Linked DNA regions of Drosophila melanogaster. The protein of the gene in region 2 interacts with the protein of the main gene of each other region in a pairwise test. Each region holds a gene or a part of one and is shown on either strand. Other genes may lie near its edges.

What was found. The genes of interacting proteins can lie anywhere in the genome.
Region 1: the proteins of azot (region 2) and CG14759 interact in a two-hybrid assay, tested with the Drosophila melanogaster proteins (one large-scale study listed by BioGRID).
Region 3: the proteins of azot (region 2) and ND-B14.5A interact in a two-hybrid assay, tested with the Drosophila melanogaster proteins (one large-scale study listed by BioGRID).

What each region holds. Positions count from the first base shown.
Region 1 is NT_033778.4:8,257,879-8,261,579, reverse strand, and holds CG14759 (uncharacterized protein), read right to left. Parts: upstream 1,740-3,701; 5' UTR 1,545-1,739; coding exon 1,164-1,544; 3' UTR 1,097-1,163; downstream 1-1,096. Other genes in the region: CG2291 (uncharacterized protein), read left to right, coding at 380-715; CG30369 (uncharacterized protein), read right to left, coding at 1,910-2,173.
Region 2 is NT_033778.4:7,947,609-7,951,471, reverse strand, and holds azot (ahuizotl), read right to left. Parts: upstream 1,634-3,863; 5' UTR 1,584-1,633; coding exon 1,137-1,583; 3' UTR 1,007-1,136; downstream 1-1,006. Other genes in the region: CG30378 (uncharacterized protein), read right to left, coding at 523-969; CG14764 (uncharacterized protein), read left to right, coding at 2,952-3,863.
Region 3 is NC_004354.4:2,170,752-2,174,528, forward strand, and holds ND-B14.5A (NADH dehydrogenase (ubiquinone) B14.5 A subunit), read left to right. Parts: upstream 1-1,774; 5' UTR 1,775-1,891; coding exon 1,892-1,954; intron 1,955-2,054; coding exon 2,055-2,303; 3' UTR 2,304-2,681; downstream 2,682-3,777. Other genes in the region: CG3630 (uncharacterized protein), read left to right, coding at 38-334, 404-1,177; Cyp4d14 (cytochrome P450 4d14), read right to left, coding at 2,746-3,649, 3,713-3,777.

The DNA of each region.
Region 1 (3,701 bases), 310 kb from region 2:
TCATTTTTTAGGTTAGCCAAAAGAAAATGAAATGTGTGATAGGTACACTTAGCTGCTTATCGAACAATTAACTGAATATGTTCTAGAAGAGGCTTTAAGAGGAGGTTTCTTTTTAACCCAGTCAGCTTTTCTTTTTAACTAGTCAGCTTTTAGTAACACATAGCCCCGTTTTACTTTTTCTACGTTCCTCCCATTTAACAGGCAAACTAATACAATAGACAAGTCTTAAATTTACATACTCCCTCCTTTCGGCCAATCCTTTAAGCCAAATAAACGCTACACCACAGTACAACTGCATCCAGCTGAAGGCTAACCAATACCTAAGGTATCCGGACCACGAAATTACAGGCAAATCCGACTAGTTTCATCCCCTTTCCAAATGCTGCCAGCCAATGGAAACCAATCGGCCCTATCCGCCTATGTCCGACTGGCGGTCCAGCAAGCCACGTCCCGGATGACTGGAAGATTCGCCTACTCGACGCGCCGAAACCAGTGCGTTGGGGATCTGAAGAAGATCGACGAAGTCCTGTGCCACCAGCGGGATGAACCCAATCCAGAGTACCATCATGCTCCGCGATGCTTTGTTAAGAACTTTCATAAGTACCAGGAGCAGGCGCAGGATCACGGAGAGGTGCAGACGACCCGCTTCCGCAATCCGCGATACCGCTGGGCAGACTTCCGGCGACGAATGGTTTATGGCACCTACGATATCTAGACGGTTTCTCTTGAAGCTCTCTGCAATCAATTTCCATCCGGACATGTCTTGTACGAGTATAGTCCCCCCCCCAGTCTATCCATAACGAAGTATCCCAAACCCACATGCAAACTGTACAATAGTAAGAATTTTGAGGCCAGATAAACGGATCCAACTCGGTCGTCCGCTCAAATTGCAATATAATTCAGCACAGAATAAATCCGTTACCTCTTAAGTTTATTGTGCACTTCGTTTGAACTTAGTAGGACTATGTATGAGTATTGGCCAGATTTTAGATGGTACCTTTAAATTGAAATAAGGCCAAGGCCAAATGTGTCACCCCCCCCCCCCCCTTATTTATTGGAGAACCGTATACCCCTCATATATATCAAAGTATTATTTGATAAAATTAAAAATAAACATTTATATTAAAATACATTATCTTCCATTTAAACGCTATTACCCACACTCACGGCTTCGAATCCGAGTCCAAAGCTACCGGACTTTTATCCATCATGTCCGCAATTGGTTCCGTGTCCGAAAACTGACGATGCGGCCCTCGCACGGTATTGATTAAGAGGGTGCGGTGGGGCTGGAAACTTAGCTCGTCCGTAACTCGTGTCATGTCCTTCCCGTAGTCGGCGTCCATGTGGCGCAAGTTGAGGAAGCTCTTGACCAGCAGGAAGGGCGGCCTTTTTAGATCGGTCCATGAACTCTTACGGTCCTGGAGCTTTACGGGCGCAGGTCTGCGATGGTACGGAAGCCTGTGCTCTGACATTCGTCGCCTCTGCTGTAGCCGCATCTTAGCCTCGAATATCGGGGACCCGATGAGAAGCCGACCGGTGAACATTATGCCATAGGTGGATGCCGTACCGTTGGTCAAAGAAATACTAAAATTTAGGTTAACCAATGTAAGTAAAATTTAAGTTATATAAAAAAAGGTTTCATATTATATGAATGTATCTATCGGGCCTACTTTTATGTATTGGCTTTGCAATTCTTGAAATGAATTGATATGGACGTTTTTCCTCACTAAATTAAAATTCCGTATATAGTTCAGCGGCAAGTCACTTTCTTGCTAAAAAATGAATCTTCCAACAAGTCGAATAACGTAATATATTTTTAGAACAGTATTTTTTCCAAAAACTTTAAATTTTTAATATTGACCGCAAGGGCGATTCCCATGGTTACGAATGGTAAAGTCAAGGGGGGATATCATTTTCTCTCGTTTTTCCAGCTTGACATAAAATAGTCTCTAAGATCACGAGGAGCACCCTGCATGTACACAGAATCCAGATGATGGAGGGCCAAGAAGCTCTTCACCAGGATGCGGGGTGGTCGGGTTGATTGCGCCGGGGTCTTAATCCTCGCGTCGGGAACTACAGGAAATGGTCGCCTCGTCCTCCTTTGATGCAAACTTCTGTTCCGGGAAAAATGTAAAACGGATAGGCCCCCGAGAACTCGACCAAAGGACATCATGGCTGCAGGTTCGGGGCTTAAAAATACGTTGACTGATATTTCAAATTTAATCGAAGCCAAAAAGATAAACTAGGGTTTCTGATTTCATTAAAAGCGCCTACTTTTCAGACAATTGAAAACTGATTCGAATATACTTTTTCAATGGCATTTTAGTAAATAGGCATGGATTCTATAAATCCAACCCTAGTTGGTATTGTTGAATATGCAATGTGAAAACTTGGTAAGGCTAATACCTTTTAATTTCGATTTTGAACCTAGAAATAAAATGGTTTCACATACTCGATTTTTGTGATGTAAATGGATTTAATTGGCCCAGTCGTGTGTGCAGGGGCTACGTGCCGAAAAAAAAGTGCTGTGTACTAATTTCTGACCACAAACCGAATTTACTTCTGAGGGCTAGCAAACCATTTGCATAGCTGTTCCGAAAAGTATATTCTCTGTGAGTTCGCTCTAGACCATAGAGTGCAGATTCATTTTAATTGGTAGTAAACTAATATGAAGCTTATTTAATATACTATGCACAGCTACTTTAAGTACCGTTTTGGCGTTTAAGTGGCGTTTTGTTAAATAGAAATAGTTGGCTGGAACAGTGCGGAATTGCATGTGGATCGGCCATTTTGTATTTTCATCGCTGGGGCTTTTCAGCGACGACGATTTGGCGGCTTTTGTGCAACGCGTGGTTTTATGTAACAGACCCCAATCCCTAGTCCGCGAAAATCCCTCTCCCACACGCCCGCAAAACGTCAATTGCATGAGCCGGCACGTCGATATTTTTGCCAATTTTTTAGCCGGCCTCTCGCAAATTGCTTTTTGAGCTTGTTAGAGTTTTTTGGCCCTCATCCCCGTCGCACAGATACAGATGCACACCCCCCACACCAGCACACACGCTAATGAATAGTCAAAGTCCAGGCGATTGCAGCAGTTGTAGATGCAGCAAAACGAGAACTAAACGCAATGTTTAGGCTGCATTACGACTGCAACTGGAGCCAGCAGGTCCTGCAGGAGCACCCAACATCCCGGATAGCCGCCATTTTGTAATCAAAAGCAGCACAAAAGTATGCAAAGGAAATTGCCAGAAAAAAAGCACGAAGTAAAAAGCGTTGTGCGCATTGGCTTTCTTCGTACAGTGGACAATCGCAGGATGACTGGGAACTAAAATTATAGATTTCTACACCATAATTCATAAATAGTAATATAACCCTCCTAATAACTTTAATCTATGCAATATATACATTCCTGAGCACAAAAGTAAGTAATAACTCAGCGATACCAAGTATATCATCTTCATGGTTCCCATGGTTCATGGTTTAAATGAAAACAGATGCTAACTAGTTCCTTTACTTTCAGATGAGAAATACCAACTATTGCTTTGCTTTCGGATTAATCAAAGTTATTACATTTCTACTGTAGCAATGCTCTCTAAAACCAATCCCTTGGCAGCCCTTTAGCGACGGCTGCTGTTAGTGGCTGCTGCTTTTCAATTAGTGCCACCAGAGTACGAAAGTACCCCCAGCCCTACCACGCCCCC
Region 2 (3,863 bases):
CAAGGTGGGCTTTTATAATTGCCGAATGAGTCATGGACAATGTATGTTGTATGCGTATTAAGGGTGCCAATAGATAACAAGGTAATTTAAAAAGAGCAAGGTGCGATAAGACTTGAACCCAAAATCATGCCACTTGTAAACTTGGTCAGACAAAAAGGAAACCAGCGAGTCCAGTCCAGTCCAGCACATGGTCAAATATTTAAATTGGCATCGTAATCAGCGTGGCTCGATTTTATGATTGCTCTGGCCCATCGCCATCACCCTTTCGAATATCCTGGCACTCCCCAGCGGCCATTAGGCACATGCGACCGTTTCGGAGTCACGCGCCGTGCCACATGGACACACACAAGTGGACTTCTTCGGACAAGGTTTAACAGCCGACTTTCTGGCGCTGCGTTGAGTAAGCCAAAGGAATTTGGTTGGGAATTTCAAGTGGTGCCGCCTAGGCGTAGGGAAAACGCGACTGGGTTGGGCTCTTTCGAAAGGGGTTCGTGGTTAATTTGTGCCTTCAATTTGGAATTCCTAGCTTCGCATGGCGGTAACAAATTCGTTGAAGGAGATCTTTCCATCTTTGTCCTGATCAATGTCCTGGAACAACTCGCGCAAGTCCTCTTCGGACATCTTCTCGCCCAGGTTGGTCATCACCATTCTGATCTCGTTAATTGTAAAGCTGTTCACTTCGCTGCGATCGAAGATTTTGAAGGCCTGCTTTAGGCACACCAGACTGTTCTGCTCCTCCAGCCGTTTGCTCATCACGTATAGAAAGTCCTTGAACTGCACCTGCCCACCGAAGTCGGCGTTACTTTCGTTGGCCAGGTCGTAGATCTCCGCCTCGGTGAGACTCTCTCCAAGGGCCCGCATTACTCCGCCGAGCTGTTGGACGGAAACCCATCCGGACCGTTCCTTGTCATACAAACTGAATGCTTCTCGAATTTCTTCAATCTGGGCCTCGGTCAAACTGCCGCTCATTGTTTCCAAAGTGATTTTCTTTTTTTTTTTTTTTTTTGTAGTGGACTAATGTTTCATGTGCTTTTGTCAGTGTGAACATAAAGAATTTAAACTGAACACAGACAGAACGCCGACTTTTTGTTGGATAGAAATCAAGCCAGCCTTCTATACGAGTACTCACATGGAGGCTATCGCATTGTCATCATGTTGACGAACTCCTCGTAATTCAAGTGATTGTCCTGATCCAAGTCGTACTCGCGTATCATTTCTTCCAACTCGTCGTCGCTGAGCTTTACGCCCAGCGCGGTGAACACATTTTTTAGCTCGGTGGTGGTAATGTAGCCATTGTTATCCTTGTCGAAAATTCGGAAAGCTTCGCGCAGCTCGTCCTCATGGTTGGTGTCGCGCATCTTGCGCAGAATCACATTGCAGAACTCCGGAGCCACGATGGATCCGTTTCCCTCCGAATCCACCTCATTGATCATGGACTGAACCTCGGCGTCGTTGGGCTGGCGACCCAGGGCGCGAATCACCACCGCCATCTCTTTAGATGTTATGGCGCCCTCGTTGTCCTTGTCCAAAATACGGAAAGTGTCAAGGATCAGGACTCGCTCCTCATGCGAAATATCCTCCATCTTAACTGGTATATTATAGTTTCTCGGAAGAGTTGTATATTGCTCTGTTTATATGTAGGTGTCAACTGATGTTTGGATGAAACAAGGTCCTGACATTGAACTCAGTGAAATGTGAAAAATGGTAAAATGAACATCCCCCGGTGGCTTCACTGCGCTGCACAGTGCACAACACCGAATGGCACAAAATCAATATGCTCGTTATATAAGCGCAGTGCCGCACGGACAGAGTTGATTGATTCGAATGTCCTTGGGCGAGGAGGCCTTGCAGCTGATCGGTTTCAATTGCGACCCAGCAACGGACGTCAGCTAGTATCTTTCGTTGTTCGTTAACAAAACAGAAGGAGAGTGCCGTTCGAGGAAAGTTAAGGAGTAAGAATGTGTACAATCACCGTCATTGTTCCAACGCACACTCAAGAAAAAAAAGGCTCATCTTTTCGCTATTCGAAATACAAGAACTCAACAGAAGTTTGCAACGCCAAAATATTTGTGTAGAATGAAAACAACATTAGTGAACTTTTATAGTTCCCGAGATCTCGACGTTCATACGGACGGACAGGCAGACGGAAGGACAGACGGGCTTATCCAGATCGACTAGTGATCTGGATGAATAACTCCTTTAGCTTCACGAGTAACTGGTATAAAAATGTAAATGTAAGATTTTGTTCTTGATTGCTTAAACTTATTCGTAAGTTTTGCTATACATTAAATAATCTATCTATGAATCAGCATACCATACTATTCATACTTAACAAGAGTGTTTTGAGTGTACTGCCATACAAGTGTAGTGGTTGCTATCGGCACAGAAAGGTTGTCATGCGATTTGGGTTTGGCGCCTAGCCTGCAACTTTGGCGGCTGCCTTTTTGCCGCAGGTTAATTCCAGTGCTTCTCCCCCTCGGCCCTTTCACCTGACCGCAGTGGGACACACCTGACACCGGTTTTTGGCTGCCGGAGGAGTGGTAGTGCCCGGGGGGGTGGGCAGAGAATGCGGCACGCTTTACTCTGGCCACAGTCTAAGCAAATAATAGACAAGAATTTGACATCGGCACGAGAGGGTTCCATTGTGCGGCTCATTTGATTTTTGGTTGTGTTTGGGTATTTGTTTGGGCTAGTTTCGGCGAAACAGAGGAAGTGTGCTAGAGGGCCATAATGGAAACATATCTCACATGTGTGTTTCGGAATTGTTCCTATGACGAGGCAAATTCTGGCCATATTTTTTGACCATTAACGCCGCCTGGCCCGACATAAATAATTTTCTAAGAGTGGGGTTCGGGAACCGTATGTCAAAACTTAAATAATAAATCTCTTGTTTATTTCTTGGATAAACCAAAAATATTCATTTATTGCAAATTTAATTTTTTTTCTTGCAGGAAAACCTCCGCGTTGGCTTGGAACGCAAAAAGCTCGAAATAGACCCAAAGTATTTGCTTCTTCTGGGCTTCACCTCGTCAAATGAAGCTACAGGCCAACAGCAGCAGCTGGATCAGCAAAATGTGGTGGACATCGGTTCACCAGGTCAGCAACTGCCAAAGACAGATTTTTCAGCGCCGGCTACAAAAGCGGAACTGGAGCTCAGCGAACTGCGAGGTCTGCGGCGTCCACAGGATGCTGTTACCTTCGGTAGTCAGGCAGGAGATCAAAAGGGGCAGCGGAAGCGGATCACGACGCCGTACAACGGTACAAAGAGCAACTTCACAATCGTCAGCTATGTGCTGGAGGGGCAGGCCGCATCGGCCATCCTGCTGGCCCAGAATATTGCCGCCAAGCTTCCCAGCGAGTACCTGCTAATCTACGATTTGGGCGTTTCCGAGGAGCAACTACGGGATTTGGGCGCCTACTGTAATAACAGCCGATGCTCGGTGATCACCTATGATCTGTCGGAGTTTCCCTCCTTCGTCGCCGATCAGCGGACGCACGCCTACCGGCCCATTGTAATTAAGGACGGTCTTATGCGTGCCCGATCGGTTCTCTTCTTGGAAAACAGCATGCGCGTGCGCGGAGGTTCCGCCCAGCTGCGAAGTCTGCAGAGCATCGTTATGAATCCAGGAGTGGGAAAATCTGCAGTCAAGTCCGCTGGAGTGCTCGGATGGAACACAGCGACGGCGGTATCCTCTCTGACGCATCCAAAAATGTTCGACTACTTTGAGTCGAAAGCTGAGGAGTTTAACTTTCTTCGGATGGTCGACCTGGATGCTGTCTTCTTCTCGGACAGCTCCTTGGTGGCCGAGAAGATCATGCTTCCCTGGCTGAAGTGCTGCCTCACCCTCGAGTGCATCGATCCG
Region 3 (3,777 bases), on a different chromosome or scaffold from region 2:
GCCGATTTAAGCCATTTGTGTTCTTCGTTACTTGCAGGACTCACCACTGTCCTCCAAGGTGGCCATGTTCAACAACCAGGCCACGCAGCACAAGCAGTCGCAGCTGCTGAATCCATTTTCCCAGGACGGACGCGCCGCCTCGCCGAAACCCACTTTCTCGAAGGATCAGTATGGAAAACCACTGGCCGGCAGCCTTACAGAGATGCGTGGCCAGAAGGCCAACATCCACGTGATGAAGGAGATGCTGGAGCTCTGCCAGATCATCAATTCGGAGGGCTACGACGTCAAGGACGAGCCCACTATGCGTGTGATCCCCTTCGGCGAACTTTTTAATGTGAGTGTCCTGTTTACAGCTGGTATATTTTTCGAAAAGCCCTCTAAACTGGTCACTTCCACTCTACAGATCTATAACTACATATCCGACAAGGTGGTGGGCATCCTGCTGCGGGCCCGCAAACACAAGTTGGTAGACTTCGAGGGCGAGATGTTGTACCAGCGGAGGGACGATGACGTTCCCGTCTTTCTGCTGAAGCCCATCAAGGAAATACGCAGTGAGATGGAGGCCAAGATTGAAGACATCAAGAGGGCGGCTAGTCCAGCGCCTCCGCAGTCCACCTCGGTGCTGATGGATCGCAGTGCTCACGAACAAAAACTGAAGTCGAGGACTCCCTCGCCGGCTGTGGGCAAGTCCGCCAAGTCGAAGTCAGCGTCGCCGGCACCCAAGGCTCCTGTACCTGTTCCTGCGCCTGCTGCAGAAGTCACGCCTGTGGCTGGGCCCACAACTTCTGCAGAACCTGCTCCTGTGGCAGAGTCCACTATGGCAGCAGTTCCAGCTCCGTCTACAGAGCCCACACCGGCAACAGCTCCTGCTTCGAGTACCGTTGAGATCGAGCCAGCCAAGCCAGAGGTGACCGAACAGGCGCCCGTGGCTGTGATAGTCACAGAAGCACCATCCACAGAAGAAACCACACCAACCACCAGCGAACCGCAGGCGGAGGAAGCACCCGCTGCAGTTGCACCGGCAGGACCTGCTGATGACTTACCCACAATTGTGATTGAAGCCACCGCCGAGTTTGTACGCACCGTCAGCGTGGAGCAGCTGGCGCCCAGTCCCGGAACGGCCAGCGAGTCCTCGCCAGACCAGTCCCAATCCCAACCAGAGTCGACGCCCGCTTAAGGCGGAACAGGGAGCTTGTTAGCTGGGAAGGAAGGAAGGAACATCCCCTTAAATCGTTTAAAAGGAACTCTCGCAACTACTAAAGCGGCAGCTTTAAATTGCAGTAGTTTAGTTTACGGCGTACTTAGTTTAATTTACAATTAGAGCAACACAACACTGAAGACAGAATCGAGAGTAACTTTTTATTTATTATTATTACTTGTATATTATTAATGGACGACCAAAGGAGCCAGTTTCCTCAATTTGTTAACCATTACTCTATGGAAATGAACTACGGTTTCCCACTCACAAAAGTTGGGAACGTGCAAGGCAATAAAATACTAATAAAATAAATACACGTACATAGACACAATATAACCAAGTCCTGTTTTTCTAGTTTCAAAACGATTGGAAGTGCTGGTTTCATAACTAACTAAATGACTCATTGCCTAGGCAGTTTTATGTGCTCTTTCTCGTAGTTGTTCTCTGCTTTTAATCTTTAATTAAAAATTCGGCCGTTACTATATCAACTTTTCTTCGCGATAGTTATCGATAAGTATATCAATTGCAGGGCAGCAAAGCAAAGTTAAGAGGACGAGGCGTGGGTATCGATTAACGATACTTCGTAATTTCAAGCAGCTGATATCGATTGGACGACAGGGCTGGACCTCACAAATAAATATAAAACCAAAATATTCAGTGGTTTCTCAATTTGAAGAATAATACAAACGGAAAATGTCTGCCCTGCGCCGTGATGTGTCGCCTTTAATCCAGCGCATTCGGGCCTTCCTCCTGGGTGTGAGTATCCGACATTTGGACAGCGACCGCAGAGAACTCGGTTCTCAGTTATATAAGACGGAAAATGTGAATCTCTGATTAATCTGGACGCCAATTACAGCGGGAGCACAACCTGGCCCTGCGCTTCGAGGACGGACTGGCCGATCGCACCCAGCCACAGCCGGAAATCCCTGACGGTCCATCGCATCTACTCTCGGCCAACTACTACTGCCAGCGGGATGGACGTCGCGAGGTTCTGCCGCCCATCGACCTGGTGGAGCAGCAGAAGCAGCTGGCGGCAGAGGGGGAAGCGGCGAAGGCCCCGTCTTCCAAGCTGCCCACTCCCGGCAAGGTCTATGCCTGGGATTAATGGGCCGCATCACCGCGGGAATCGCCTTTTTTTGAGTTGTAGTACGAGCCGGTTAAAGCTAATATAGAATCAAATTGAAGCAGAAATGCGTGCATTGGTATGTTCAGTGATGAAGGGCCAAGTGAAAGGCCCCTTACCAGCCCACAATGTTTCGAAACCCCACTTCCGGGAAAAATCACCATCCATTTTTTTTTGAGTTGTAGTACGAGCCGGTTAAAGCTAATATAGAATCAAATTGAAGCAGGAATGCGGGCATTGGTATGTCCAGTTATGGGGGGCCAAGTGAGAACCCCTTACCAGTCCACATTATTTCCAAATCACACTCGCCGGAAAAAACACCATCCATCACTGGATATCATTATGTACAAGTATTTTATTCAAATATTTACAGAGCCCATCACTTACAACTAGTTAAAAAAAAAAAATCACAATCCAGGAACACCTAATAGACGCGCGGCTTGAGGCCACAATTGATTCCGGTGGTCGAGCGCAGGATAACGTTCAGTACGGGCTGGACTTCTTCGCCCAGAGGCAGCAACTCAAAGTGTCTCACCATTTTGCTGATGGTGCTCTTCATCTCGAGCATTGCGAACTTTTGGCCGATGCAGTTTCTCGGACCCGCTGAGAAGGGAGTATAGGCGAATGGACTGATCTCGCCCTTGCGCTCCATGCTGAAACGATCAGGGATGAACTTCTCCGGATCAGGGAAGTAGTCTGGATCGCGCTGAGCATGGTAAATAAGAATGATCACATTCGAGTCGGCGGGTATCAATTTGCCGTCGAGTACGGTGTCCTGGGAAATGTAGCGTCCAATGATCGGCACCGAGGGAAACAGGCGCAGAGACTCCTTTATCACGCACTCTAAGTACTTGAGCTCGCCGAGTAGCTTCATAGTAACTGGAGCCGACTTGTCATCACCGATAACATCTCTGACCTCCTGGAAGACGCGAGCCTGAACCTCAGGATGTCGAGCCAGCAAATAACAGGTAAAAGCAATGCTACTGGTCGTAGTGTCATGACCCTCGAACATGAAGGTGTCTACCTCCTCGCGGATGTCGTCGTTGCTCAACGGAGCCCCATCGATGGTGGACTTCAGCAGCACATCAAGAAGAGCCATACGACGCTTCTGGCCCACATCGTTCAAGAGGGCAGCGTCGGCATCTCCTCCATCGGCAATGGCTTTTTGTAGGAGCTCGCGTCGCTCAGTGATTACCGAGTTGGTAAAGTCGTGCATGTTCTTCACGGCATCATTCAGCTTGTCTAGCAATTTGGGATAGAAGAGCTTCATGGTGAAATCCAAGCGCTGCAAGGGATTCATGAAGCGTTCGGCTAACATTGCAGAGGCACTAAAAAGATGTGCTCATATGGAATAAAGTCCGCCGATAGTTAATATAGGTTATAATACTTACGTTGTGACCGACTGAACGTAGGTAAATTGCGGCTGGAGCTGAGCATTAATTTTTACACCCATGGC